Linked DNA regions of Saccharomyces cerevisiae S288C. The gene in region 2 interacts genetically with the main gene of each other region. Each region holds a gene or a part of one and is shown on either strand. Other genes may lie near its edges.

Region 1 (8,570 bases), on a different chromosome or scaffold from region 2:
TTTAGTGGCATGGAAAGAAGGGAGCTCCAACAACCAAATCAGAGTGGAGATGTTTCATATTTTGACGATTTTATCGCCGTACTTAAAATCGGATATGATATTTAATGACGAATGGATACTTCGGAAATTATCAGAGTTTTTGCAGAAGACAAAACAGTTCCTCGAGAAGGATTCTGTGCAAATCTCCTACGAATATCAATCGCTGCGAAGCTACTTTGCAGGTCTTATATTGAGCTACTATATGGCAGTAAGAGAGCATCCGCTAATAGATGAATTATTTCCCTTCCAAGCACGCGCATCATGTTTCAATTTCTTGAAGGAATGGTGTGGTTATGGTGAGTACGAGCCAATATCTGAAGAAAGATATGCCATAATGATAAAAAATACAGAGAGTGGCAGAGATAGAACCGCTATTACAACTGGAATAGAATTCCAAAAAAACAGATTGCAGATGATCGTGCTAGAGACTATGGTTGTTTTATGTTCAGATCCAATAACCCAAACATTGGACGATGATTTAGAGTTGCCTATTGTGATTTCATTCGATACTGAAGATTTACTTGCTTGGATTGAAGCACTATTTGACTCGGACAATACTACTGTAAAAAATCTTGGTGTGCGTGCTTTGGAGAATCTCCTGGACAAAAATAGGGAAAATTTTAAACTATTTAGAGATGTTGCTTTCCAATGTGTTTCACACCACTCACATCCTTCGGTAGCTGTTTTATATTACACTACACTTTGTAAATCCGTTTTGAAATTGGATAATTTGGTTTTAGATGAAGATGAATTAGTCTCCTTGGGTTTGTATGGTTTAGTGGCAGATAAGGAAGATACAAGGACATTTGCTGTTGATCTACTTTCAGCTGTTGAAACGAAATTACATAATTCTTCTTATACCAAGGTATTTAAGGAGAGACTTGCAAATTCTTCAAAGACGGTTTACAAATCAACTGCAAAAGAAATTTCTAGCATATTTGCCGAACTGCTCTCTCAGGATTTGTGTTTGAGAATATTTTCCAGTTTGGTTAGAATACTTGATTTGTTTCCTTTCGAAATAAAAAGAGATTTGTTGGTGCTTATGGTACCTTGGGTAAACAAATTTACATTGAAATCTTTAGAAGAGTTGGACACGTTTATGGTATTGAATAACCTATTTTACATCACTATTGATCTTAACGACTCTTTACCGAACGAAGTAGAGCAGCTATGGATTTCTCTTGGCAAGGGTAATTCTTTCCAAAATATACACGTATCGCTGGAGTACATCATAAATTCTTCAATGAATCACTGCAATCCATTGTTTGTTCAGTATGCTAGAGATATTGTATTGTATTTGGCAAATATTCCTGGTGGCATTGGACTACTTGACACTCTATTGAATAATTTAGAACCGAAATACATGGTTCCTTTAGCGAAACATACGTTTAATGAGCCAATGAATAATAATAAGTATTCCTTTTTAGGGAATATCTGGGAACGACTAAATTACAATGGGAAAAGAATCATTTTTTCGAAGGCGCAGCTTTCGATTATCTTTTTAGTCAATTTGTTAACGAACTTGAGTGAATCTGTAAAGGCGAAAATTCCTCTTCTACTACATATGTCCATTTGCTTGCTTGACCATTATGTGCCGCTTATTCACGAAAGCGCGTGTAAAATTGCATCTACATTAATATTTGGATTGGCACCAAGTCACGAAAAGTCTGAGGAAACCGTGAAACTACTAAGAAATAAGCATGCCTTATGGTCATATGATAACTTGATGAAAAAAGGTGCAAGATCACCAAAAACTATGGACCTATTAATTAGGAACATAATCTCTATATTCTCGGACTTAGATGAATTTCAAGTAACTTGGCAAAGAATTGCCTTGAAGTGGGCTACCACTTGCTCAGTTAGGCACATAGCGTGCAGGTCATTTCAAATATTTAGATCATTATTGACATTTTTAGATCAGGAAATGTTGCGTGATATGCTTCATAGACTTTCGAACACTATATCGGATGGAAATGTCGATATACAAGGATTTGCCATGCAGATCTTGATGACTTTGAATGCAATCATGGCCGAACTTGATCCGACGAATTTGATCAGTTTCCCGCAGTTATTTTGGTCCATTACAGCATGTTTGAGCAGCATTCACGAACAAGAATTCATTGAAGTGCTGTCATGTTTAAGTAAATTCATTTCCAAGATCGATTTGGATTCTCCTGATACCGTACAGTGTTTGGTTGCGATCTTTCCTTCCAATTGGGAAGGTCGCTTTGATGGCTTGCAACAAATAGTTATGACTGGATTGCGATCAGCGAATTCCTTAGAGATTACGTGGAAATTTTTGGATAAGTTAAATTTGTTGAAAGATAGCCGAATTATAGCAAATACAGAGTCTAGGCTGCTTTTCGCATTAATAGCAAACCTTCCGAGATTTTTGAATGCAATGGATCGCAAAGATTTTACGGGCATTCAGGTTGCTGCAGATTCGTTAATTGAACTTGCAAATGCGTACAAACAACCTTCTCTTTCCCGTTTGATAGATTCTCTAGCAAAGAACAAGTTTAGATCAAAGAAAGATTTCATGAGCCAAGTAGTGAGTTTCATATCTAGAAACTACTTCCCCTCGTACTCCGCTCAAACGTTAGTGTTCCTTCTGGGTCTTCTGTTCAATAAAATAGGATGGATCAGAGTTCAAACTCTGGAAATTTTAAAATATGTTTTTCCTTTAATTGACTTAAGAAGGCCAGAATTTATTGGTGTCGGTGCTGATTTGATTTCTCCGTTACTCAGGTTACTATTTACTGAATACGAAGCAAAGGCCTTGGAAGTTTTAGATTGCGTACCAAATGTTTCTGGAAGTAAAATGGATAAGGATGTTTTAAGGATAACCATGGGAAATAAGGATGTGAAAGACGGCGATAATGCTACCACTACCTTGTTTGGTTTGCCTGAAGATAGCGGTTGGTCTGTTCCTATGCCAACAATGACGGCGGCTACGACAAGGCACAACGTTCACGCAGTTTTTATGACATGTGGTACAGGCAAATCAGATGAAGTATCTGCTCACGGATCGGATGATATGGATGCAGTTATCGAATTTCATGCGGATGGTGACTATGAACTCGGCAGAATGGATACAATTGTCGAGTTTCATGCGGACGGTGATTATGACCTTGGTAGAATGGACACAAACGATTCCATTTCTGTTGCGGAAGAAAAGGATGCTTCGTTAAGTCACATGTGGGCAGAGCTAGATAATCTTGATAGTTTTTTCACAAAGGACACAAATGTGCCAAATATCTCCTCTAAAATGGGGATGGGAATTCCACATGGACGTTCTGATTCGATTGAAACCACTCGCACAGATCAAACTTTTTCCTTTGAGTCTGCTCCACAGTTGTATGACAAAAAGGTCTCAGTCATACTGAACAGGAGCTTATCTAGAACACCGTCCAATGTTTCATTTAAAACTCATTTGGCTGATTCATTTGCTGTGAAAATAAACAGGAATGGAAAGCCAAGAATATAAGTTAATTTTTTCGTTCAAATAAATATAAAGCAGGCCTTGGTTTATGATAAGGTACCAATGATGAAGATATTTCGCATATAGCTAATACTGTTCGAAAATTAGATAATCTTATAGAGAAACTATTATCATTGTTTACTATATTATTCATGTTTTCTTTTAATTATCGAGCTTTTGAAGGTGAGGTAGTTTAGGAAGTGAGGCTGATAAGTAAAAATTGGATTTTAGGGAAAACTAGATCCAGGATTGGTACTATTTTCTTTTGTTATTGCAGTTTATCACCATTATTATTATTATTATTATTATTATTATTATTATTATTATTATTATTATTATTATTATCATATATAAATACACACATAAACGTTTTAAGCTTATGTTCAGCAAGTGCTGTAGCCACGATATTATAGAATATAAATCAAAGATAACGTTTTCATTCAGAGGGGTAATTTAAAGGTAGGTATTTCCCAAATAGCTGAGCATCTAACTGATCGAATACTCCAAGAATATCGTTTGAGTCAGTCATATTTTGTTCGTTTTTAATTTCAATATTAGGTGACATCTCCTCTTTATCTTCTATGTTCAAATTGTCTTGTGAAAGCGGTATTTGTAACTGGGGAAACCCTTCATAAGACGGTGAATTGTTATCAATCTTAATGCCGAAGTCATTATTATTTTTATTATTGTTATTATTGTTATTATTATTACTACTATTACCACTATTGTTATTGTTATTATTATTATTATTATTATTATTATTGTTGTTGTTGTTGTCGTTGTTGTTGTTGTTGTGATTATTATTACTATTGTTAGTAATATTATTGTTATTATTGTTTTTGCCACTAACATTATTGTAGTTGTTGTTAATGGTATCTGGGTTGGAGTTATTTGATGCATTGCTCTTACTGCTGCTAAAATCGAATGCACTGTTAGTAGGGATGTCGCCGTCATTCCTGATAAAGACGTCATCTGTGGCATCAAGAATATTTGATTGGCCATTATTATCAAGTCTGATATCAATAGATAAGAAATTGTTCGGATCTCTTTCATTAGACATGTTAGTCGTTCCTTGGGATACTTGATCTTGCTGTTGTGCTTCATTTAAAGGATTTTCGGAAATAGGTGTATTATTTAGGTAATTAGCCATAGCGTAATCATTGGTGCTTTCTTCACTCTTAGCTAATGAAAAGCTATTCTTCGTATCCTGGGAAGAAAAGAATACGGGTGGTTGCAATGAATCTCCTAAATGAGGTTTCAAAGCGGAGGAATTATTAGTCACTAAAAAGGCACTTTCGTTGGATGGTGATGAATGTAACGCAGTAAGCTGGATAGTTTTTGAGTTTAGTTTTTCAAAAATTTGGTTCAATAAATTATAAGTCCTGCTAGCGGCCATACTAGAATCCTTGAGTTGAATAAGAACGCTTCTACCAGTTTCTGCGTCTTTCAAAATATCATAATATTCTCTAGCACTATCCTTATCAGGCAATTGCGCCTCATGGATGTAAAATAAGAGACCTGCAACGGAGTAAAAAATTGTATAACAGGCATACCAGTATGAACCAGTTAATAAATTATTACTAACCATCTCTTTTGCTAACTTAATAACCGTTCGAGCCACGGCAATAGAGTTCCGGGCTCTCCGGTAACATAAGGGATCTACATTTTCAGCATTCATGTTGCGTGATAAATAATGAATAAAAGGCCTGTATAATATTATCTGAACGTGCAAAAAAGACAAATGTAATAAACGATTTGCCCTTTCATATTCAGGATCAATATTTTCTGCGTTAGGTATCAGTTCTTTGGGCAACGAATCCAACCAATTTCTCAACTTTAATTCCAAGCTAGTAACTGTCTCATGAGAAATTATATTACTAGTTTTTTTTATCGGATATAGTTCAGAAATGATCTCATTTAAAATCAAAAATAGTTTTGTATGTTCATTCGAAATCCCCGTACTTGATAAAACGGAGTGTTGGTTCTCAGGTAGGTACGCCACCTCAGTGATATTCTCATCTGATAAATCCAGGGGGAGAGTTTGGTCAAAATCGTCGGGGGAAATAGATCTCGGTAGGCCCAGCATTGCATTGATATAAACGTCCAGTTTATAGATTGTATAAAAAAGGCGTTTCCTCATCTCAATTTCTATTGGACTAAAACCAGAATTGGGGCTCAATTTCCTATGAAAGCCTGCTCTCAAAGCACTTCTCATGGCGACACCGATATAAGTGTAACACGTTGATAAACGTGCGGAACATTGTAAGAATATAATCAGCATTAAAATTGCTTGTATGGAATTCAAGTCACGGGCATTTGTAATGTCGATTAGTTTCCTTGCTGCAATGAAGTACTTGTAACCTTCATCCTGTAGAAACTTTTCCCTTGACGAGTCATTTGAGACAATGGATTTCGAGAATAATGCTCCCACAGCGATTGCAGCGTAGCACAATGGTAAAAATTGCATTTGCTTAGACGTATAATTGTTTGGGTCTGTCTCATACAACTCATCCAATTGTCTAATGAACGATGGTCTGTGATAAAATCGGAGAAGAACACAGCAATGTTCCCAAGTACTTTTCACGAATTGTAAAGCGATCGCTTTTGGTGGTAGAATTATTTTTATTTCTCTACCAACGGGGATATTGGAGTAGGTATCTACACTGTCTTGTTCCCTGTTGCTGGAGGCGCTATTCGAGTCACTTTTCATGTTAGGTAAAAATTCGTCTGGAGTGGAGTTTTTTGAATTTGAAGAAAGTACTGGTTGGATCGGAGAAGAACTGTCATTTACGATTAAAGTATATTCTTTCACAGTGTCATCTAAAAACGACTGCGAGTCCCTCTTAAAATTGTGAAAGATCTGCAAGAACACAGGAATATCCAGATTGTCTATATCAGGTAACTGCGGGAAGACCTCATCAAATATTTGCTTGTACCTGTCAATCTTCGATTGTAACCTTGTGCTCTTAGTCTTATACTTTCTTGGTTTAGATGGATTGTTACTTGCAGGTATTGTAGAAGCACCCGGTAAAATAGCCCTTTCTGTTTTAATGTTTGAGAGGAGTTTATTTGGATTGGAAGCGGCGGCTGCCACCACAGTACTTGATGATGGACCAGTAGTAACATTGCCCAGTGTTAGAACTCCGGAGTTTCCGGAGTTCTGTGTTCTCTTCGTAGGCTTCTTATAAGTACATTCATAAGAGTACACAGTACAATGGATACATGGTTGCTGACCATCACATTTAACTTTTTTCTTTCTGCATTCATCACAGGCTCTAGTGACCCTTCTTCTCTTGACAGACTGTTCCCCTTGTTGCGCTTGTTCTGGCATAACGCCCTTATCAATTATAATATGCGCTCCTTTTTCTTTGTCTCTTACCTTATGGAACTCAAATAAAAAGAGGCTTTTTTTCTATATGTTAACCTCTTCGAGATTTTCTAACCGCTTTATAAAAAATTCGATTACTGGTTGTCTTCAATGCAAGGAACTACTCAACAATAGAAGGTCATGTCCAGGTAGACAAACCTCATTACTGTAGTCACTTTTGAAAAAAAAATTACCAAAAAAAAAAAAAAGAAAAAAAGAAATCACTAGGGCTTGAAGAGCGTAGGTCTTATAAAATGTTTTTTAAGGGCTTGAACGGAAATATAGCATATATGATAGGTCTAAAAAAGTTACGAAATAGGTTATGATCCATGGATGAGGTAAACAAAAAAATGGAAAAACATAAACAAATCAGAAACGGTATAGAGAGAACAGGATGGTAAGAGGTTTAGATGAATACCGGCTCTATAGAAGATTGAAGGTTTAAATAATAGTGTGTAAATTGTGCGTTCAATTAGCAAAGAAAGGCTTGGAGAGACACAGTAATAATAAATGTCTGTTACCAGTAGGGAACAAAAATTTAGTGGTAAGTATAGTTCGTATACAGCCCAGGATCGCCAAGGGCTTGTTAATGCGGTGACATGTGTTCTTAGCTCGTCAAGCGATCCTGTGGCTGTGTCAAGTGACTATTCCAATAGCTTGAGTATTGCCAGAGAGGTCAACGCTTATGCTAAAATTGCCGGATGTGATTGGACGTATTATGTACAAAAATTAGAAGTTACCATTGGTAGGAACACAGACAGCTTGAACTTGAATGCTGTGCCCGGTACAGTCGTGAAGAAGAATATAGACATTGATCTTGGTCCTGCCAAAATTGTGTCTAGGAAGCATGCTGCAATCAGATTCAACCTGGAGAGCGGATCATGGGAATTACAGATATTCGGTAGAAATGGTGCTAAGGTCAATTTTAGAAGGATTCCCACAGGTCCAGACTCTCCTCCTACGGTGCTACAGTCTGGTTGTATCATAGACATAGGTGGTGTGCAAATGATCTTTATATTGCCGGAACAAGAAACTATTATATCGGATTATTGCCTGAATCACCTCATGCCCAAATTACTATCTACTTATGGTACGAATGGTAACAACAACCCGTTGCTACGTAACATTATCGAAGGTTCTACCTATTTAAGAGAGCAAAGGTTACAGGAAGAGGCTCGATTACAACAGCTGGACCACCTACACACCCCATTATCGTCATCATCAGATGTTAACCCAATAGGGGATCCACATGGAGACACGATTATGATGGAAGAAGATGAAGAAGATGAAAATTACACCAGAGGAGGAATTAGACCGAATACATACACGTCCAGTAGCAACAATGCTGTCACTAACGGTAATGTACCCCATATAGAAAATCCATCAGACTTGTCGCTGGATGAAAACAGATATATCAAACCACCACAGTCGTATGCATCGATGATCACCCAAGCCATTCTTTCAACACCCGAAGGTAGTATTTCATTAGCGGATATTTACAAATTTATCTCTGACAACTACGCATTTTACAGGTTTTCTCAAATGGCGTGGCAGAACTCCGTGAGGCATAATCTGTCCCTAAATAAAGCCTTCGAGAAGGTGCCCAAAAGAGCTGGTCAACAAGGTAAAGGGATGAATTGGAAAATTAGCGATGAAGTCAGGCGTGATTTTTTGAACAAGTGG
Region 2 (7,948 bases):
GCTTATTCAAGAAGCTCAGGCTCAAGGGATGATGACGAAACCGAGGAACTGGAAGAAAAGGGCATGCTGCTGAATGACCCATATCTAAGTTCGAAGTCCGGGAGATTCGATATCGACGCTGATAGTGAGGCCAACCTCCGTGGTGATTCAAGAACGAATTTATTGGGTGACAATTTTAAGAACGGTACTAATATCACTGTTGTCCCAGATATTATTTCACACAATCAAGATCCGAAATTATCAAACATAACCACTTCTACCACGTCTGATATTTCTACTTTCGATAAAGAAGCAAAGGACATGGAAAATTCAAATGGTTCCGGACTTAATGAAGAAGAGGACGATGGCATGGCCTATGACAAAAGGAGGTCAACTTCAACGTATTCTGTCATTGAAAGTGAAAGTGGCTTGAAAAATGGGAGTGTTTCTAATAATTATGTGAGAAACAATGGTAGTAACACCAGCAACAATATAAACTATAAAGTTCCGCTAGGAAAAACGGAAATATCATCCAGTGCATCATTAGCGTCCTCAGACTACTCTCAAAGAGAGGTCATACCGCACAGAAATCCTTCGAGACTACTAAACGACATCATGGAGACCTCCTTCAATGAACCAAACGATAGCCACATCAACAGCATGTCCTCCTACAACGATAAAGATTCAACGTTGACTTCAATATCACAGAGAGGTGTCAATCCGGAAGTATACAATCAAATGCCTCGAGAAACAGCCGCTGGTCCTGCAAATATAAGGCCGTACGCTGGTCAGCCACACCCGGCGCCATTAGTGTATCCCCAACAACGACTACAACCACAACAACAGCAACCACAGCAGCAATATCATCAATACAATTTATATCAAAGAACTACTCCTGCTGGTCCAGATCCTTCTAATGTTATTTTACAAAGCAATCCTTATTTCAACGTTGCCCCAAACCAAGTGCCACAGCACAGAAATCCGGTACCAGGCGTCGGTTTTGCTCCGAATCCTTTACCAAACCAAAGCCCGATAACACAAGGATATAAGCCTGCCTATAAGAGGAGAATGCAAAACAAAAACTTGCCCCGAGCTACTACTTCACTGAACAATCCTTACGGATTTAGGTAAAAAAAGAAAAATGAAGGTTCTTTTTTTTTTTTTATATTCTACAAATCACAATAACCACCAACTTGTATTAAACCATATTTTATCATCTTCAGGAACTACTTATGCACAATATTCGTTCGCCAGTCTTTACTTGCGGTTCAATTTTATCCCATATAAATTTGTATTTTATTATCATACTACATACTTTATTGAAATCATATATTAACCTTTTCACTTTTCTCAAATAGAACGAGCAACAGGTCATATGAACGCTGACTAAATCTCTCAATTTTCTTCAAAGCATATTATAGTTCAAAATCGCGATGCGGTACCGTGAAAGTTTTGTCATCAAAGTAGGTCATCCAAAGCATCATTCTCAGATTCTGTTACTTCAACGATACTCGGCAAGTTGCTCTCTTCGTCATTAATATGGGTATTACTGCCGTCATCATGACTGTTATTAACTGTTTTATTATCATCATTGTTGTACTTGTTGCTACCATTATTACGACCACCACTGCCACCGCCATGTGGTTTCAACATAACAAAGAAAAAGAGCGCTATTACGCACAATGTTAGTAATAAAATGACTTTACATTTTTGAGTTCTCTTCTGGTAGTGTGTTGCTTTATTCAACTCTTTATCTGCACTTTTTAGCTCTACCACTGTATTTTCCAGATTATAATCAATCCTGTCCACAATAGTCCCCTGGTCAACAACCAAATCTTGCATTTCCCTGAAAATAGTGCTCACTTCTAATACACCCCTTGCCAACTGAGTAATTTCTTCGTCACGTTCTCTCAAATATGCTTCTGCAGAAGTGTCATGAAGCTGTTGCTGTCTCTGCAACGTCCTTTTTGAATAGTCTTCAATATCGAGGCCCTCTCTCTTCTCTCTTGCTGCCTCCTCTTCCTCATCATCTAATAATAGCGTGTTCTCTGCACTGGCCTTATTGCGGATAGGTTTCAAATCATCCTTGTTCAAGAATTTCAAGTAATTATTTTGTAATACTCTGAACTTATTACTTTCAGTTTGTATCTTTTCTGCATAGATCTTCTGTAGATTATCTAGTATAATCAGCTCTTCTCGACTTAATTGCTTACCATCCACAAATTGAGAGTTGTATATGGTCTTTAATCGTTTCATAACAGCGTAACATTTCTGCAGCATCTGAATTACTTTGAAACTTAGATCTTCAATCAGCGCCTCATCATGACTCTTGTCTTCAAAGCCAGGTAACGAATTCTTCCTATAAACCTTCGCCAACTGCTCACTTAACCGTCTCACCTCCAGAAGATAATCATCAACATCCTGCGCTATATCAATAAATATGGGTGGTAACGCATCACTGTGATTCTCATGCTTGTTTTTTCGTTCATCTGTCAATCTGGCCGATATATCGTGAGACATATTCATCATCGGGTATGTACCCATTTCAATATCTTGATCATCGCCCAAGGGTGCTTTCCCAGATGAGAAAGTTATGTTATGAGGGAAAGTCCTACGGTATGATAAAAATAAATTAGTTCTATCTCTAAACATGTTTGTAACGACTGCCTAGATCACAAAGCGATAAAATGTACATCAATTGGAGACTTTCCTGTCTTGCCGTACTTATAGTCTATTCTGCTATAATCTATACGCACTCACTTTACACCTTAAAAGCCCAATACAAACCGGTCCAACAATTATAATTCATCTATAGGGCATATACAAAAAAAAAAGGTAGGTGTAAAAGATAATAAAATACAACCCTATTAGCTTTGATAAAAAATTAGTAGGGTTAGAATGTCATATGGTAGGGTGATATAAACGCGTGAACTTTACGCGTTTATATGTACTAAGTTATTTTCGGTATTAGAGAATACCATATCAACGACTAACTCTTAAGCTTTCGATTGTATGAGCTGAAGAAACGGCCTGCTCATTACCAGGATATCTCTTTTTTTTAGACATCAAACAAGAAAATAAGGAACAAGAAATTTGAGGTACAATAATGACAGAAATTATTGATTTAGACTTGGTCGATGACTTTATCAAGAAACCTATGGTCAAACAACAGAAAAACCAGTCTTCAAAGCCTAGGGTAAAAAGAAGGGGTCAGTTGACCTTTGATGATTTCAGAAACATCAAAATTGTAGAAGAACCTGTTGTACTTTCTCACAATAGTTCAATTGACGAATCACTGGATGCTGCTACCCAAAATACTAAAAAGCGGGAGAAATATGAAGGTACCTGTGATGAAGAAATGAAAACTAAAGAAATGGAGGCAAATATGGCAAGCAAATATTCTAATATCAAAACACATTCGAACGACACTAACAAGGTAGAGTCGATCAGTGAACACACTACTTCTAATAATAGACCATTGAATACATTAAACTGGTCACCAAATATTCCTTTACGATATTCTGACTTTGCAAAGTTTATGAGTGATGAGACGGTAACGGAAAGCAATTGGGCGCCTCCCCTTTGCACCCCTCTCCCATATGCAGGCGATGTTATGAAGATCCTTTCTTTTATCGTCAAATTTAAATGGGTGTTCAGCGACGATCTACTGAACCTGTCATTTCAAGATGTGGAGATAGGACTAGAATTAAAGGTGGCTGGCCATTCTGCGAAGAATATTCGAATTTGTCAGGATAAAATGAATCTACTATTTTGCAGTCTTTTGAGGTTATTATTCTGCTCCGAGAAAAGAGCAGACAACCAAACTCATAGAAATTTCACGCTAAAAAGATTTCTTAGTTTGAAAAATCCATATGGAAAACTGGTTGGCAAACTCAGAAGCTTAATCCAGGAGTGGGGCTTACCAAAAGAATGGCGTGGTAATAGTGATATTTTATCTACTCTAAATTTTAATGGAGGTGGTTTGTTGACGATGGAACCATTAGATAGAATAATATTATTGAGATGCATGATCGATTGGAATTGTAGCTACTCCGCACTTTTCCATAATGAAATTCAAAGGCTCACTCACTTGAAAGGCGATACAGGGTTCAACCATCAAACTTTTCACGCCAGCAGGTTTGCTATGTGCGGGGCCAATAACATATTAGATAGTTGTGAAGTTTTATGCTCTTTGATGAGTCAAAAGTTGGAAAATCGAAAGAAAAGGAAGCCCAGCGACAAAGGAAAACTGAGTAAGATCAATAGTCAGATGAAATTTCTAAAGGGTGTTCGGAAATCATTGAGCGAAAAAGTAACTACAGACAGATTACGAGCTGCAGTTAAAATAAATGAAGAATGGGGTGAATATTTTGCAAACGAATTTACACACACACCAATTGATGATCCCACCGTAGACGAAATTTACAAGTTAAGGACATCAGAGTTTATGATAGCGAGAATTCCACGAGTTGGAGATTTCTACTTACCACCATTCTGGATTGGCAACGAATGCAGTTCAGTAAACACTAGTTACAGTTTCAATGACATGTCAACTTATCTTAATTACTTCGTAAAATTCAAAGAGGAGGGTACAAAAATACTGCCTGCAAAAACCGCACAAAATGAAAACAAGTGTCAACTTAAACTTATATATAGGAACACTCCTGCATGTATCCGTAATTTACAGTTCAATGATGTTCACTTTGCCGAGGTGCCGCATTGGTTTGAAGTTGCAGGAGACTCGAATTCTTTGAGCAACTTCATTGAGTATTTGGAAAGTTTATCATCACTTACTGAAAATGACACCGATGATACAAAAAAGGGTATAGACAATCTAATTGAGTTTTTGAAAATTTTCAGTATATTCATAAATGAGACTATTCAGCGCATAACTGCTGCCCCTACAGGCAGTACTGAAGGACGTCATTTGCGAACAAGCTCTCAGAGAAGAACCACGGTGCATTACTCGAGTGATGTAAATGGTGACGTTTCCGAGGAAAGTGAAAATGAAGTTGACATTGACGTTAGCGATGACTATGATTCAGAATATCTGAGTGAGGAGAATACATTGACAAGAAAAGGTGAAGATAGGACAGATAAATCTTTTGGGAAAAGAGAATTACACAATGGCGCTAAAGATTGTGATAGGAATTGTGATGATATAGAGATCTTCTCAGAACCCGTTAGGCAACTACAAGATAATTCTCGGGAAAAAAGAAGCTTGAGGCGTAATGCCAGAAAAGGTCTATAGTTTGAATGCCATGAAGTGTAGCTGCTGGTTACATAAAATCGTCACTAGCTTTACACATTAAATATTATATACGAATTTATGTACACGAATTCAAGTCCGTAATTTAGTCTTCTGACTTCGACTCCCGATCATCATGCAGTGTTTTCTTGCTATCGTCTTCCTCTTCACCAGCCAAAACTTTATGTTTATTCTTTGTTGCAGCTTTGACAATTTGAACAAAGGCATCCTTTGTTAATGCAGACTTCAATTTCATTTGCTCTTCTGTTAGTTCTCCCCCTTTCTTCTGAGATTGCAGACGTAAATCATCCAACGAATGTGTGACGCCGTCCAGAAGACTTTCATTGAGGGAATTCTCTTCTATATCGTTATCGCCATCGTCCCCTAATGAATACATATTTCTTAACCTCTTAATTCTATTATTAAGCTTCACAATTTCAATAGCGTCACGTAATTTCTTACGCAAAGAAAACCCTTTCTTAACGTCTGGTAAAATATTACTAGTTTCAACTCTCTTTGAAGTAATCCATGGATCGTCCAGCAATTCCGTAGCAGTTGGTCTGTCAGCTGGATTCAATCTCAATGCCTTCAAGATGAAACGCTTAACATCAATAGATATGTTATCCCAATATGGCATATGGAAGGTTACCGGGTATCTCGAAGCTGTACATTCCTCCATGAATCCTTCAACGCTTTCGGCAATAAAAGGAGAATAACCGCACAGTAAAGTATATGTGATCACACCAATGGACCATATATCACAAGGCTTACCATGTCCATCTTGTGTGAGGACTTCTGGTGCCACATAACCCAACGATCCGGCTGCTTTGTATATCAAATCCTCCTCCCCCTTCAATTGTTTAGCTATACCGAAGTCCGCAATTACCAGAGGCGAATTTTCTGACTTATCAACATACAAAACGTTCTCAGGTTTCAAATCCCTATGAACAACATTCTTGGAATGCATATACTCCACGGCACCAAGAATCTGAACTATGATTTCAACAGCATCCACTTCTGTGAACTTCCCTCTAGACAGAATTCTATCAAATAATTCACCTCCTGTTGCCAGCTGAGTGACAATATAGAACTTATCCTTCGATTCAAACCAATCCTTGAATGACACAATGTTCGGATGACTCAATTTTTGAAGAATGGACAGCTCTTCGTACAGCATCTGTAATTGCACATTGTTTCCCTGCAATGCCTTCTTCAATAAGATCTTTATAGCAACATCTTCATTTGTGGACAACTTTCTGGCTTGTCTCACAACACCGAAGGAACCGGCACCCAGTGTTCGACCGAAAATATAATTAGTCCTGTTGACGTAAGATTCAGGTTGACCGCTTAATTTATTGATAAATTTTGCTACAGGGTGGCCGTTTAGACGCTCTGGATCTTGGACATCTACATGAAATTCAGAATTTATGACCTCTGACTCCTTGGGCATTTTTGGTGTCTATATTTATATTGGCGATGTGATAGAAGAAAAGGTGACGAAAAGATTGATCAACGAATTGAAGTTCTGCTGATCTTGAACAATATCGTATTGTTTTATATTATTAGGATTACCAAGAGAAACAGCAATGGGTGGCTTCAAAGGGGGCAGGGTTCTAAGATAAGCCTCAATTATTCTCTTCGCGCTGCGTTAAAGCGGGCGCTTCTCCGAAAGTACAGCACGTTCTGAAAAGCCTCATCAACATAGAATCCATATGATGCTCAACGACTGGAAGTAAAAACATGAAAATTGAAAAAGAATATGCCTGCAGGAGCATTGGGAAGTACATAGTGGCTTATAGACTGCCAAAAAAAATCAGTACGGAAGCAAATGAACCTTATGTTATCCAGGGAGCGGTGAGTAACTGAGTAAAAACATTAGGCAAATTTCTTCCAAAAAATCATTGACATTGCCTGTCAATTGAGTAAATGAATAAATAAATAAATGCAAAAAAGCCAACCTAACTCTCCTGCAATGATACAATGAGTACTGTATCAACGACCATTAGTAAGTATCATGAAGTGTTTTGTATATTTGGAAAAAACCAGGCTGCATTGCCCCAGTGGTGTATTTATATCTACTGCAGTATGTTCTATTCTGTGAAGTTCCTAAAAGACACCGAGGTTTCTATGGCCTAACCATATTGTTGTTCTAACGCCTTTTCTATGTAAGGGTCCTTATTGTTCAAAGCCCCACCGCTCCTTCGCGCGTTGTGCCTATCATTGTGTCAGTAAATGTTAGGATACGGGAAGTGTATATATTAATTGAGTGGACACAGAAAACGCTCTAGAAAGGAATATCTCACAAAGAACTGTAATATAAGCCTACATTATTGATTTTTTTAGTTCTCTTGCCCTTATATTACCGTAAGTCTGCGGTATAATCACCTGGCCTAGTGCTTTTTCAATCATGTTCATTGAATACTCTAGATTACCAGGCTTCGAAAGCATCAATATATCATTTTCTAGAGGCATGCTAAGATTGGCTAAATTTACTAATTTCGCTACATACAAACAAAAATTAGAGTACTTCAGGCTGTTGGCAGGTTCAAACAAATACATCCAACGAATCAGCGTTGCTGACTTTGAGAGACATCCAGATGAAATCAATTATATTTACATTATACTAATATCCATTCTCCAAATGGAAGAGTGTATGCCAGTCCTAGTTCTATGTCCAACTGTTTATTGGGTACGATTCCACTGGCCTGGAAAATGTTCCGT
Region 3 (6,573 bases), on a different chromosome or scaffold from region 2:
CTTGCCCTGTACGAGGTGCTTGTCCCAGTGGGACCTGGGATTCGAAATCTTAAGATAGATCCAATTGTTCACATGAGGCAACTGGTGAAAGTAAATCGTGTGGTCGAGCGAGACACTGAAACTGTGGCAGTACAAAGGCAGGTTGTGGAAGTACGGGATCGTGAGTAGGAGGTAGGAATCGGACAGATACGCAAAGGCCACGTAGTTGTAGCGAGCGTCGTTCTCAGGAGTAATGCTCTTCGGGATCCTGTACGGATGATGCTTGTGTAAAGAAGACTCGTCGCCCGCGTGCTCCACGGTAGTGATGGGAGGTCTCACTTTGACGAAATAATCCAGCTCGTCGGTGTGTCTTGCCGAGTAGAACATGTCCTTGGGGAATTGGTACTCCATGACTCCGTATTGAAACGCATCCACATACTTGCTCATCGAGGTTGCGTCTTGGAACCTGTCGGACAATGAGGCATACCTGCTCAATTTCTGTGGGTCCAGAACTTCTTTCTGGAAAAGCGAAGTGGCCTCTTCATAACGATGAGGGTCTGGCTGCTTACCTTGCAGGCCTGGAATCGTCTCCCAGTGCTGCAAGGAGTCGTGCTCCTTGGACCGTTGCACGGCAAATAAGATCATCGACGTAAATATCAACTTGTCGTGCTGATAAGCACTAACCTGCTTATGGATGAAATTTCTACCGTTTCTCAGATTCTGCACATGGTACGTGATCTTGGTCCGCGGATCACCACCCTTGATGAAATACGAATGTAGCGATGTGGGGAAGAAGTTCAATGGCACAGTATGCAATGACGCCAGCAGCGATTGTGATACCAGCGTTCCACCAAAAGTGCCCTTAGACCCTACGGGCGCGGCAGGCAGATACTTTGTGACAAAACTGGTAGGCGAAAGAGGAACCAGTTCCAATATTTTCTCTAGGTTGGACATGGCCATTTTGGAAGCACTCATTTTTATGCAATCTTGTCTTATCTTGTCTTGCTCATGGTGGATACTGAATTGAAACCCTTTTCTGGTTTATATCCAACTGGCGTGGTTTTTCATTGTAGGATGAGGCTCGGTGTTTATGCCGTCTCTTCCGAGGATGCAATCAAAGGCTCTCTCCTTTGTTGGGGTAGTAGCAAGTCCAATAAGCAACGCTTGTTTGTTGATTGGGCCGATTTACATAGCCTATACACTGCTGTTACATATGCCTGTGTAGAATGAAAAAGCAGGACGCCCGTTTCACAGCTCAGATTCCAGAGTGTCGGGTCTTAGTTCCTCCCAGGGAATAATGGTCCTGGCCGCACGCTTCAGCCGATGGCTAGCGTCATCATTGTCTTCGCTATTGTGGTTTTGGCTGGTGGATAGGGTTGGGGAGCTGGATCTTCTGCGTTTCATGGACCTTGTGACCATCATTCTTGGTGGCGGCACGGACTTCTTACGCTGCTTATCGTGGGCTTCGTCCATATCGTGCAGGAGTGTGGTGCCATTCAGAGACACATCCGGGCGATCGTAGGCGTGATCTGCCTTTTCTCGAAACGCCATCTCTAGAGCAGTCTGGCGGGTTTGTAGACTGTGCATGTCTTTGGATAGAGACAGGAGCACTTTATGCACGTCCTCCAGTTGGCTGCCGACGTTGAAGAGCATCTCCTGGGTGCACCTCATCGACTTTTCCGTCTCATGCTGCTTGTTAGTTACGTGTCGCGTTATCTTGGAATTATACCTGCTTATTTCTTCGACTAATACCTGCCTGTAGCTGGAATCCGACTTTGTCTTCTTCTCGTCGCCTTTCGATAACATTGCTGTTGACACTTTGTCCAGTTGGTTTTCAATCTGGGAAGCCAAATCCTTTATTAAGGTTTTCACGTTTCCTATACTACAGTTGTTAGTAAATGTGTTTTGGAAGAAAATGAATAAAAAACTTGAGGGTATGCACTGTGTTGGTACGAACCGTTCGTAGCAGCATCTTGTTCCAGTAGCTGGTTAAACTTGTTTAGCGATTTACATAATGTCTTAGAATTTTCATTTAAAACTTTAATTAGCTTGTCAGAGTTTTCCCTCAGCTCCATACTCTCCAATTCCAGTTTACCTGCCCATTCCAGTATCTGCTTGTCCGATTCCTCTAAAGCGCCTGCATTCGCTACTTTCCCACTGTGGGAGAATATAGATCTGAACGGTGATGATGTTTCTGTAATCATCAACGAGTGTTCAGAATTAGCCTCTGAAACATCTGTAGATATCTCGTCTGTTCTACCTCTAGCGACCATTTTACTAAATGTTTCTACACGTCTGCAGTATCCTTGTTTTGCTTGTTTTCCTTCTTTCTGTTCTTGTTGATTTTCCCTTTAAGTCCTGAAAATACTATCATGGCGTAAAGGGAAAAAAAAAAACTAATCTTACGTGGTTCTTATAAGATGGACCAGCAAGCTGCATACAGTACACCATACAAGAAGAACACACTATCGTGCACCATGTCAGCCACCTTGAAAGACTACTTAAATAAAAGAGTTGTTATAATCAAAGTTGACGGCGAATGCCTCATAGCAAGCCTAAACGGCTTCGACAAAAATACTAATCTATTCATAACCAATGTTTTCAACCGCATAAGCAAGGAATTCATCTGCAAGGCACAGTTACTTCGAGGCAGCGAGATTGCTCTTGTTGGCCTCATAGATGCAGAAAATGATGACAGTCTAGCTCCTATAGACGAAAAGAAGGTCCCAATGCTAAAGGACACCAAGAATAAAATCGAAAATGAGCATGTAATATGGGAAAAAGTGTACGAATCAAAGACAAAATAATATAGTTGCAATAATAGTAATAATAATAATAATAATAATAATAATAATAATAATAATAATAATAATACCATGTATAGAAGTATATAAATCATACAATAAATTTAAGCATTAACCCGTCACGGACTGGCCATCTTCAGATGCTTCTTCTCTTCGCCAATGCCACAGTCGGGAGGAATCCCCATTTGGTACATCTTTATGGCCAGCTCCATCAAATAATCGATGGCTTCGTTGAAAATTTTGGCCTTATCGATTGTCGGACCCCAAACAAAAATGCCATGTCTCCTCACAATTACGGCGCATGTGTCTGGATAATCTTTAAAAGTCTTGTGCAAGTCATCGATCAACTCGTCCTCATGCGCCATGTTTTCAATGATGGGAATCTTCAGCGTATCAAAAAACGATAGCGCCATGGGTTTCTTGGTCACAGGGTCCACCTTTCCGCTTGGAATTGCTTTGATTTGTTCGATGTTAGCAATCCTGAACTCATCGCCAAATAGCAAGGAGCATATCACAGCATTTTGGGAGTGTGTATGTATTATAGCACCTGCATTTTTCTTTTGGTAGCACGCTAAGAACAATGGAGTACATGCGCTTGGCTTGTAAAGCTTGGGAGAGCGCAAATACTCTAATGTCTGAGCGTCCATGACAAACAAATCCTCAGGTATCATCTTCTCCTTCTGCACCCCAGATGGGGCGAGATAATAATAATTCGTGTTAGGATCTTTTATTGAAATCCCACCTCCAGTTCCGGTGCACCAATTATTATGAAAAAACTGCTTGCATAGCGTGCAAATGAGATTTGCTGGATGGCACGGATCATCTGAATGTATCAGAACATCTTGTGAAGACATAGTCGTTCACTGGCTCCCCTTGTTAGTTCAGTGCTTAAAAACGTTACATATCTTGATGAACAGCTAGCTGCTTTGATCAAGAGAAAAAAAAAAAAAATTGGCACCGCATCTTAGTGCCGCAATCTTACGTAACAAGAGAGCTATAAAAGTACAACTAACAACTCTTCTAATACTTAATTAGATTGAGGGCGTGCGTAGTTTAACGTCTTGCAATGGAAACATGTCCTCTTTTCGACATCATTTTCAAAATCTAAAATGGCTTCTTTCACTTGGGTACCTAAGTCTAACATTTGCAGTTCACTCTCGTGGACCACTTGGCGACAATGAGAACAGTACCACCTTATCTTATCGTTTTCTCCCCCAGGCCTATCTTGTTCCACAACAATACCCACAGTATCAGCAAACCGAACAGGACTGTGAGGAACATTTCCTGGCAATAAATATGAATCGCCTTCATTGATGATGATATCAATGAACTTTGGTTCAGCGTCTGTCTCATCCACAACCTTTAAAAGCATAGATCCTTTTTTTTGATAGAACCATTCGGGAGTTGGATTGATGTGATAACCGGTTCTTTCATTAGGCCCACCGACAATCATCACAGTGAATCCCCCTTTATGTAAGCAATAATTATTCACCGGTGGTTTCAAAAGGCCTTCGTTCTCCTTCAACCATTTGTCGATATTAATTGGTGTAGTATTAAACATTTTTTTCGATTTTTTTGGTAAATGTATGCTATTTCAGTTACTTGTAGACTGTCGTGAAAAGAATAAAGAAAGAATCTTTTACGTCCGTTTTTTTACTTTGCCGAATATGTTTCAGTGACTCACAATTTATCCTGACGCCGTCACAAAGGCAGCCATTCCATTGCAATAACGACACTCTGAATATTCACGAACGTTCACCAGACATTTGGAGGCAGCGTTCTAAATGCCGATACCCGTTCAGGAGTACAGGTGTCAGTGACAGAAAAATAATGGCACCGTTGACGTCGAAAATACATCCGCGCAAATTTTGACAGGCTATTTTGGCAGCGCAATCAAAGAATAAACTTGGTATAGTAAGGAAGCCAGTTACTGTACGCATGAATTACGGTAGCTTTTTTTATTTTATTTATTTTTTTTTTTTTTGGACAAATAGAAAAATTTTTATTATTATGTAAGATTATTGAAGTAAAAATACAATTGGACGAATCTAGTTAGATTGCCAAGATGTGTTAAAAGGCAAGATTAACTTATGAACATGATCTACAACGTCCTGGTTTTTAAATTCGAGTAAATACGCCTCCTTTTTATCTGTGAATGACAGTCCTGTTCTCCCAAGTCTTTTTACATCATGGAGACGGGAGTTATACTCTCTCGGGTACAAGGTTCCTTCAGCATCAGAACAGATCACAAACTTTATCGCAACAACAATTCCTTTATATTCCTGGGAAAATATGTCGGTATAGCCTACTCGAGACGGCTTCCAAACATCAGCTTTCGTTTTAACATGTTGCTGTTGGAATAAAAATCCACTATCGTCTATCAACTAATAGTTATATTATCAATATATTATCATATACGGTGTTAAGATGATGACATAAGTTATGAGAAGCTGTCATCGAAGTTAGAGGAAGCTGAAACGCAAGGATTGATAATGTAATAGGATCAATGAATATAAACATATAAAACGGAATGAGGAATAATCGTAATATTAGTATGTAGAAATATAGATTCCATTTTGAGGATTCCTATATCCTCGAGGAGAACTTCTAGTATATTCTGTATACCTAATATTATAGCCTTTATCAACAATGGAATCCCAACAATTATCTCAACATTCACATATTTCTCATGGTAGCGCCTGTGCTTCGGTTACTTCTAAGGAAGTCCACACAAATCAAGATCCGTTAGACGTTTCAGCTTCCAAAACAGAAGAATGTGAGAAGGCTTCCACTAAGGCTAACTCTCAACAGACAACAACACCTGCTTCATCAGCTGTTCCAGAGAACCCCCATCATGCCTCTCCTCAACCTGCTTCAGTACCACCTCCACAGAATGGGCCGTACCCACAGCAGTGCATGATGACCCAAAACCAAGCCAATCCATCTGGTTGGTCATTTTACGGACACCCATCTATGATTCCGTATACACCTTATCAAATGTCGCCTATGTACTTTCCACCTGGGCCACAATCACAGTTTCCGCAGTATCCATCATCAGTTGGAACGCCTCTGAGCACTCCATCACCTGAGTCAGGTAATACATTTACTGATTCATCCTCAGCGGACTCTGATATGACATCCACTAAAAAATATGTCAGACCACCACCAATGTTAACCTCACCTAATGACTTTCCAAATTGGGTTAAAACATACATCAAATTTTTACAAAACTCGAATCTCGGTGGTATTATTCCGACAGTAAACGGAAAACCCGTACGTCAGATCACTGATGATGAACTCACCTTCTTGTATAACACTTTTCAAATATTTGCTCCCTCTCAATTCCTACCTACCTGGGTCAAAGACATCCTATCCGTTGATTATACGGATATCATGAAAATTCTTTCCAAAAGTATTGAAAAAATGCAATCTGATACCCAAGAGGCAAACGACATTGTGACCCTGGCAAATTTGCAATATAATGGCAGTACACCTGCAGATGCATTTGAAACAAAAGTCACAAACATTATCGACAGACTGAACAATAATGGCATTCATATCAATAACAAGGTCGCATGCCAATTAATTATGAGAGGTCTATCTGGCGAATATAAATTTTTACGCTACACACGTCATCGACATCTAAATATGACAGTCGCTGAACTGTTCTTAGATATCCATGCTATTTATGAAGAACAACAGGGATCGAGAAACAGCAAACCTAATTACAGGAGAAATCTGAGTGATGAGAAGAATGATTCTCGCAGCTATACGAATACAACCAAACCCA
Region 4 (7,738 bases), on a different chromosome or scaffold from region 2:
GCTCCATAAGCGCGCCATTTTTCCCTACTCCCTTTTTTCGTAAATAGTAATAATGTGCTGAAAAGAACAATGAAGTAGTTATCATACATATTCCGTCGTGTCGATATGAGGGGAGGTGTCTCTTTCTTTCATCCCTTGTCGCAACCTCCAATATATAAGAGCATAAGCAACTGATCTTACTTTAGTAATTAACTTAGCATACCTAGCCCGAAGGAAGAAAAAAAATTCACCTCAACAACATGGTTCCTAAGTTTTACAAACTTTCAAACGGCTTCAAAATCCCAAGCATTGCTTTGGGAACCTACGATATTCCAAGATCGCAAACAGCCGAAATTGTGTATGAAGGTGTCAAGTGCGGCTACCGTCATTTCGATACTGCTGTTCTTTATGGTAATGAGAAGGAAGTTGGCGATGGTATCATTAAATGGTTGAACGAAGATCCAGGGAACCATAAACGTGAGGAAATCTTCTACACTACTAAATTATGGAATTCGCAAAACGGATATAAAAGAGCTAAAGCTGCCATTCGGCAATGTTTGAATGAAGTCTCGGGCTTGCAATACATCGATCTTCTTTTGATTCATTCGCCACTGGAAGGTTCTAAATTAAGGTTGGAAACTTGGCGCGCCATGCAAGAAGCGGTTGATGAAGGATTGGTTAAGTCTATAGGGGTTTCCAACTATGGGAAAAAGCACATTGATGAACTTTTGAACTGGCCAGAACTGAAGCACAAGCCAGTGGTCAACCAAATCGAGATATCACCTTGGATTATGAGACAAGAATTAGCAGATTACTGTAAATCTAAAGGTCTCGTCGTCGAAGCCTTTGCCCCATTGTGTCACGGCTACAAAATGACTAATCCAGATTTATTAAAAGTTTGCAAAGAGGTGGACCGTAATCCAGGTCAAGTTTTGATTCGTTGGTCTTTACAACACGGTTATTTACCACTACCGAAGACTAAAACTGTGAAGAGGTTAGAAGGTAACCTTGCAGCCTACAACTTTGAACTGTCAGACGAACAGATGAAATTTCTTGATCATCCTGATGCTTATGAGCCTACCGATTGGGAATGCACAGACGCGCCATAAAAAGAAAATGCGAACCGTAGAATAACGTATATAGAACATATAATTAGTTTACGTTTCACAAAGTATTAATATTACATGTAGCTTTTTCAGGACTTTCGATCTAAATCAAAGATTAAAGGAGCTGCTAGAGGTAGAAAAGGAAATCATTGACTTTTCTTGAAGATTTATGAGCGGGTAACTGGAGATGGAAATTTTCAGAAAAATTGTAAATGGATGCGATGACTTCGATGTGACGTTACTAGTCTTACCATTGTAAAAACCACTATCGGTGCCAAAAGATAAGCGCAATCAACTAAGAAATTTACCACGCTCTTTGTATTGTATTTATCTCCAATTTAATCTTTCTTTTGGTGTGAAAATTTAGCGAAAATGTCATTGGTGAATTCGTTAACACACTACGAAATTTTAAGAATTCCATCGGATGCAACACAAGATGAAATCAAAAAGGCATATAGGAATCGGTTACTAAATACGCACCCCGATAAACTTTCTAAAAGCATACATGATACGGTTAGCAACGTCACAATCAATAAGATTCAAGATGCTTATAAAATACTATCGAATATAAAAACTCGTCGCGAATATGATAGGTTGATCCTTGAAAACTATAAACGCCAAGGATTTCATAATTGTGGTGATGGGCTGGATGAATTTTCCTTAGACGATTTCTCATTTGATGAAGATAAGCTGGAGTTTATGATGAATTGTCCTCGCTGTCAATTTGTTGGTGGTTTTCATTTTAGTGAGAGTTTGTTAGATGAATGCATTGATAATGTAGACGCTATGGAACGGAGTCATTCTGGTTATCAATTATTAACCCAATGTAGCGCATGCAGCTTATGGCTGAAGGTTAATTTTGACATCGAGGAAGAGCAAGAAGGACAATAATGAAAATGGGAGGGGAAATTGAGCATATCAGATAAATCTGTTTATAGAATTATTATTTTACTTCGTGGGAAATCGAATGGTGTATATAAAAGAGGTTGTAAAATTGACGAAATAAATAGTATTTAGGCAACTAAAGATAAAAAAATATTATTTATTTTTATTCGCGGTGCGTTGCCAGATTTTTTTTGACATGCGGAATTTTGGTAAAAAGAAAAATGCAGATATGAATAGTAAACAAAGGAATAAAAAGCCTTTCATGAAGAAGTTCGTGTTCGAGATCTTCTTCCTTCTTTTTCGCTGTCGACGATAGATATGAATGCTTTTGCCATTGATTTCAAATCCGTCATTAAGCTAACATGACCTGAAGAACTGGCGATTTTACAAACAACTGGAAAGCCTCTCTGTTCAGGCAATAACCATTTATGGTGAACAACACCGTCGCCCGGACCATAGTAAAAATCTTCATAATTCCCATCTTTTATATCTTGTATACCGTTCACTTTAGCACCTCTAACAGTGGGAACCTTGTTACCGTAAACCATGGCCAATGGAGGATATTCTTTGTTCGGGTCGTAATCTAAGCTATCCAAATAATTCTTTGTACGTTTTAAAGTTCTCGCTAAATATTCACAGCTATCTTCATAAGATGTATGGAAGACTTCATCGAAAGGCACATCCCTTGGTACCTGTTTATTATTGCCGGCTACATTCCTAACAACAGGTGCATTTAGGACAAACTTGGTAGTTGCGTTTAGGGTAGCTTTAAGCGAAAGCGCTGATTTCGTTTTCCTTGGTAATAATTTTGATTTTTCGTGAGCTGATTCCTCTCTTTTCTCATTGACGAGAGGTGACAAGCCAAGGGTTTTCCAAACATCTGTATCAAAAAAATCGAAATCATACCTCTCTAAGGTAATTTTGTCAACAAAACATCTACCATCTAACGGTAGAAAATAGAAACTACTTCTCATAAAAAAGTTGGTTTCTTTAGTGAAAATAGTTTTATTCCACATCACATCATCTCCAAACCTAATAGGACCTAAAATATTTGGACATTGGCTTGGGGAACCCACGTAAATAATACCTCTTATCAAATGAGTACAGTCTTGCAACACTTTATGTGCGACCAATCCGCCCATTGAATGGGCAATGATGTATATTCCCTTCTTATTTTTTTGCTTATTGTAAATTTCCTCTAGTTTAGTCGTTAAATGCTTGGCAGATATGTCCAAGGATAATCTCCAATCATAGCCAAACTGCTGAACATTTAAATTAGGATTTGCGTCTAGCCTCTTTATCAACCTCTTAGAGATATCAACAGGCCCTATATGTGTTAGCATTCCATCAGGGACAATCTCCTTCTGAGTTTTAAGTTCATCTTCGTCATTAGGTCCGATCAATAAATCGACTTTCGTCATATTCAAACCTGCCTTTAATGGGATCCAAATTCGCTTATGAGTAGTAGCATCCCTTAGCACACTACCTCGATATCCACCCATTATAACGACATCTCCTTCCAATTCATTCCATATAGATTCTAAACGCGAACGGTAATATCCGTCATGAGTTTTGTCGAATGGGTCTGCTGTTATTTGCTTAATGGAGTTCTTCAAGGCATCCATTTCCAAAGATTCTTTAACAGCCCTTAACCTTGAATTATCAATGCCCCTTTCGTATTTAAATAATTCTATCTCTTCCAAGGAAGAAATGGAGGTTGATTTTTTCAGTTTTTGCTTGATCTCATTCTTTCTTAGATTCTTTTTGATGAACTCATCTGGAGTCTTGGGAAGCACAGTTTTAATTATGGCTAATGGTGAACTTGATCGGAAATTTGTATTACCAAATGGTAAGGAAAAGGAGAAAGTTTTATGAGAGCTGTCATAGTTCCCGTCATGCGAATAAGAAATAATTTCATCGAGATCTTCATCATCAGCGTCAAGAGAAATGGCACTCGCTTGCTTCTCTTCTAAATTATGATAGTTATTGGGCCCAGTTGTTTCCTTCTTTCTTCCCCTTTGTTCACTATCGCTGTCTTTTTCTACTTTATTGCTTATAACTCTTGCACCTCCAATCAAGGTATCCACTTTCTCCATTGTATCCAATTCACCTTCGCTTTCATTTACGGAAAAAAAGCTTACATCACTACCACTATCACTTGAATCAGAAAGACATTGCTTGTTATATTTATCATTATCGGAAATAAGATCAGTAGCCGGAGTTGCCATCATTGTAATACTCCCCAGTTAACCTCTACAAGTTGATTCTTTTACGTATCACCAAAATAGGCAGGCTATTCTTACCCAGTCCTTTCTTTTTAAGGGCGTCATAGAGTTGTAAGCATTTTTTGAGAATGCAGTGATGAGCTATTAACTTCTCAAAACTTCCTGACGTTTTATTACCCGGATTGAAGTACCTTGTATTCTTGGAGATGTCTGTGGTCGAGTTAGGAAGTGTGAACATGCCTATCAACGCCCCAAAAACCAGTGCAGATAATGATCTGGAACAATTTTTCCGTGTTTTAAACTTCCTCAGTAGAAGTATTTTTATTTAGTCGACTATAAAGGTGGAAGTCCATACTTAAGAGATATTAAGGGTATTTTGATCAACAAGTAAGTAACAATCGTTATAAAAATACAATAGCAAAAGTATGAGCGGAGAAAATCGTGCTGTGGTGCCGATTGAATCAAACCCTGAAGTTTTTACAAATTTTGCACATAAATTAGGTTTAAAAAATGAATGGGCGTATTTCGATATCTATAGCTTAACAGAGCCAGAGTTACTAGCATTCTTACCAAGGCCAGTGAAGGCCATTGTGCTGCTATTTCCGATAAACGAGGATAGAAAATCGAGTACCAGTCAACAAATTACAAGTTCTTATGATGTTATATGGTTTAAGCAATCAGTCAAAAATGCGTGCGGATTGTATGCAATTCTTCATTCTTTGAGCAATAACCAGTCATTGTTGGAGCCCGGCTCCGACTTGGACAATTTTTTAAAATCTCAAAGTGATACTTCAAGCTCGAAGAATAGGTTTGATGATGTTACTACCGACCAATTCGTCTTGAATGTAATAAAAGAGAATGTACAAACATTTTCTACTGGCCAGTCAGAAGCACCAGAAGCAACTGCAGATACTAATCTACACTATATCACATATGTGGAAGAGAACGGAGGGATATTTGAACTGGATGGAAGGAATTTGAGCGGACCCCTCTATTTGGGAAAGAGTGACCCAACTGCCACCGATTTGATTGAACAGGAATTAGTTAGAGTGAGAGTCGCCTCATATATGGAAAATGCAAATGAAGAAGATGTATTAAACTTTGCTATGCTAGGATTGGGCCCTAATTGGGAATAATAATTGTTTTATTACTGCGTAGTCAAATATGTATTTACAGAATTCTTTTAAATATATAATTCACCTACTCATCATAGCCACCGCCAAAAGAAAGGAAACCTCCAGTTTGTCTGGAATGTCTCGAAAAATAATCGAAATCGATGGACACAGCGTTTGCTAATAACACGGCCCTTTGATCCAAAGTTAGTACTTGAGAACTTAGCATCTCAGTAGGATAAATATTATCAAAGCATCTCTGCGAATCAAATCTAACAACATAAACACCAGTATCGGTAAACATTTCTCTTCCTAAACCAACCCAATTTCTGTCTACACTCGCCATTATCTTACCATCAGCATCTGTTACAGGAAAATCAAATGATAAGAAAGGTGCATCTATCTTACCAAATTGGTCAAAAGTGGATCCTTCTACTCCATCTTTCTGGAATAATTCGTAACGACGCCTCCAGAGATGCCAGTTCTGAATGGTCTCTCCTACTGTCGTTCCTTCTTTACCGTCGTGATAGTGAGTGGAGTCACTGCCATTATCAACATACGCGGAAGGAGGTATGATAGTCTTTATATGAGAATTGATGAACGAAAAGGGCCTTTTAATCGTCATTATTACATTTCCCCAATTATCAAAGACATCTACCAAAAAAGGACGATGTAGACGATAAAACTGCCGCATTATGGCCTTTGTTATAGAAAAATCTCTTTCCATCATTGATGCTATTTTGTTTCCGTTCACATCCATTATGGCATACCTATTAGCCTGCTCGAAACCTAGAAAAACGTTCATAAATTCTATTTGCCTTTCGATAATAACTGTCGGTTCATTAAGTATCGTAGTAGCTATAGGATCATGTACTTTTATTATCCCGCTATTGCTATTTTCTTTAAATGCTTTTACTGATGGCGCCTTCGTTATTTGGTTCTTTTCACGAATTACTCTCCTAAATGGACCGTTTCTGATTACTTTACCAGAAGAAACCGTTAATGTTTTACTCAGTGTACTGAAATTTCTCATACATGATCGGTAAGTTAGAAATATTGCCGTTCTATGCATGTCGGTGTTATCCTTTATGTTTGACCTTTAATCTTCTTTTGTTTTGTCTTTTTTCATTTCGTACTTTTCAAATCCTTATTGCCGGTAGGCTTACAAACTTGAATGAAGTATATAACGAAGTCAATGAAACCTCTCCCATACTAGGTTCGGAACCTGTTAAGGGGAACAAGACCGCGCACTTGTTATGAAAATTCTTCCTATAACTATATTGAAAGCTATTTTTCCACATCGGCAGACAAACGACTGTCCAGACTTAGTAAAGCTCTTGGTCGATTTTGTACATTGCCTTTCCTTTACAGCTCCAAGATATTATATATATTTTTGACAAGGTAATCAATTGCCCCACAAATCTTCCATATAAAAACCTATATATGCTATTAACCGAATGGCAATTCCCTCTATCTCATATCTCACCTCTACAGTAATCCTTCCGTGGTATCTGGTCTATAGAAATGGGTACTGTTTCATTTAAACGTGTTATCACTTGATCCAATGGTTACCATCTGACTTTGGCATCAATCCCTTCTTAAAAAGTAACCAATCAATGATATGCGATTGTTTATGAAGTCCATTCAACAAACAATGGGAGTTTGGCCGAGTGGTTTAAGGCGTCAGATTTAGGTGGATTTAACCTCTAAAATCTCTGATATCTTCGGATGCAAGGGTTCGAATCCCTTAGCTCTCATTATTTTTTGTATTTTTTTTTTTCACTTCCCATCTTTCCAAGAATCTTAGGAGAGGTGCCGCAGTACTTTTTTGGACTGAGCAAGAAGTATCGCAAAGCATGGAAAAGTAAGAAGGGTATAGCAAAAGTCTTTTCACAATAAGAGGATATTTTGCAGGCAAATTTCTGAAGACCACATAATATCGTCTTCTTGGCGCAACTAAGACGCAGAGAAATGCTTGTTTTCAAAAGGGGTATTCACGTAGTACCTAAACTACCAAATTCTAAGGCCCTACTGCAAAATGGAGTGCCTAATATACTCAGTTCTTCGGGATTCAAGACGGTGTGGTTCGACTACCAGCGATATCTATGTGATAAGCTAACGCTGGCGACAGCGGGACAGTCTTTGGAATCATATTATCCATTTCACATATTGCTGAAAACTGCAGGAAATCCATTACAGTCAAACATCTTCAATTTGGCGTCCTCTATCCATAATAACCATTTATTCGTGGAGAACATTCTACCTTCTGCTGTTGAACATGGCACTAACTCGAACGCCGTTGTGAAGACAGAGCCTTCTAGGCTTTTTTTATCCAAAATCAAAGATTCATTCAACGGCAGCGATTGGGAAGTAGTGAAGGAGGAAATGATTTACCGTGCTGAGAATGAAGTCTTGGGACAAGGCTGGTTAT

The links.
Region 1: mutations in ESC8 (region 2) and ASG1 together harm fitness more than expected from each alone (negative genetic interaction), as found in Saccharomyces cerevisiae (one large-scale study listed by BioGRID).
Region 3: mutations in ESC8 (region 2) and MDE1 together harm fitness less than expected from each alone (positive genetic interaction), as found in Saccharomyces cerevisiae (one large-scale study listed by BioGRID).
Region 4: mutations in ESC8 (region 2) and YJR098C together harm fitness more than expected from each alone (negative genetic interaction), as found in Saccharomyces cerevisiae (one large-scale study listed by BioGRID).

The regions. Positions count from the first base shown.
Region 1 is NC_001141.2:101,063-109,632, reverse strand, and holds ASG1 (Asg1p), read right to left. Parts: upstream 6,852-8,570; coding exon 3,957-6,851; downstream 1-3,956. Other genes in the region: TAO3 (Tao3p), read left to right, coding at 1-3,526; forkhead family transcription factor FKH1, read left to right, coding at 7,398-8,570. UniProt on the Saccharomyces cerevisiae protein: Probable transcription factor involved in the stress response.
Region 2 is NC_001147.6:289,444-297,391, forward strand, and holds ESC8 (Esc8p), read left to right. Parts: upstream 1-3,085; coding exon 3,086-5,230; downstream 5,231-7,948. Other genes in the region: TOS7 (Tos7p), read left to right, coding at 1-1,110; t-SNARE syntaxin TLG2, read right to left, coding at 1,438-2,631; calmodulin-dependent protein kinase CMK2, read right to left, coding at 5,334-6,677; IRC10 (Irc10p), read left to right, coding at 7,635-7,948. UniProt on the Saccharomyces cerevisiae protein: Involved in HMR and telomere silencing via the recruitment or stabilizing of the SIR (silent information regulators) complex.
Region 3 is NC_001142.9:467,328-473,900, forward strand, and holds MDE1 (methylthioribulose 1-phosphate dehydratase MDE1), read right to left. Parts: upstream 3,638-6,573; coding exon 2,903-3,637; downstream 1-2,902. Other genes in the region: TES1 (palmitoyl-CoA hydrolase), read right to left, coding at 1-954; REC107 (Rec107p), read right to left, coding at 1,228-1,856, 1,937-2,252; U4/U6-U5 snRNP complex subunit LSM8, read left to right, coding at 2,457-2,786; BNA1 (3-hydroxyanthranilate 3,4-dioxygenase), read right to left, coding at 3,811-4,344; YJR026W (gag protein), read left to right, coding at 5,433-6,573. UniProt on the Saccharomyces cerevisiae protein: Catalyzes the dehydration of methylthioribulose-1-phosphate (MTRu-1-P) into 2,3-diketo-5-methylthiopentyl-1-phosphate (DK-MTP-1-P).
Region 4 is NC_001142.9:610,956-618,693, forward strand, and holds YJR098C (uncharacterized protein), read right to left. Parts: upstream 4,202-7,738; coding exon 2,231-4,201; downstream 1-2,230. Other genes in the region: YJR096W (aldo-keto reductase superfamily protein), read left to right, coding at 240-1,088; JJJ3 (Jjj3p), read left to right, coding at 1,458-1,976; ubiquitin-specific protease YUH1, read left to right, coding at 4,621-5,331; AIM25 (Aim25p), read right to left, coding at 5,396-6,379; mitochondrial 37S ribosomal protein mS42 RSM26, read left to right, coding at 7,279-7,738.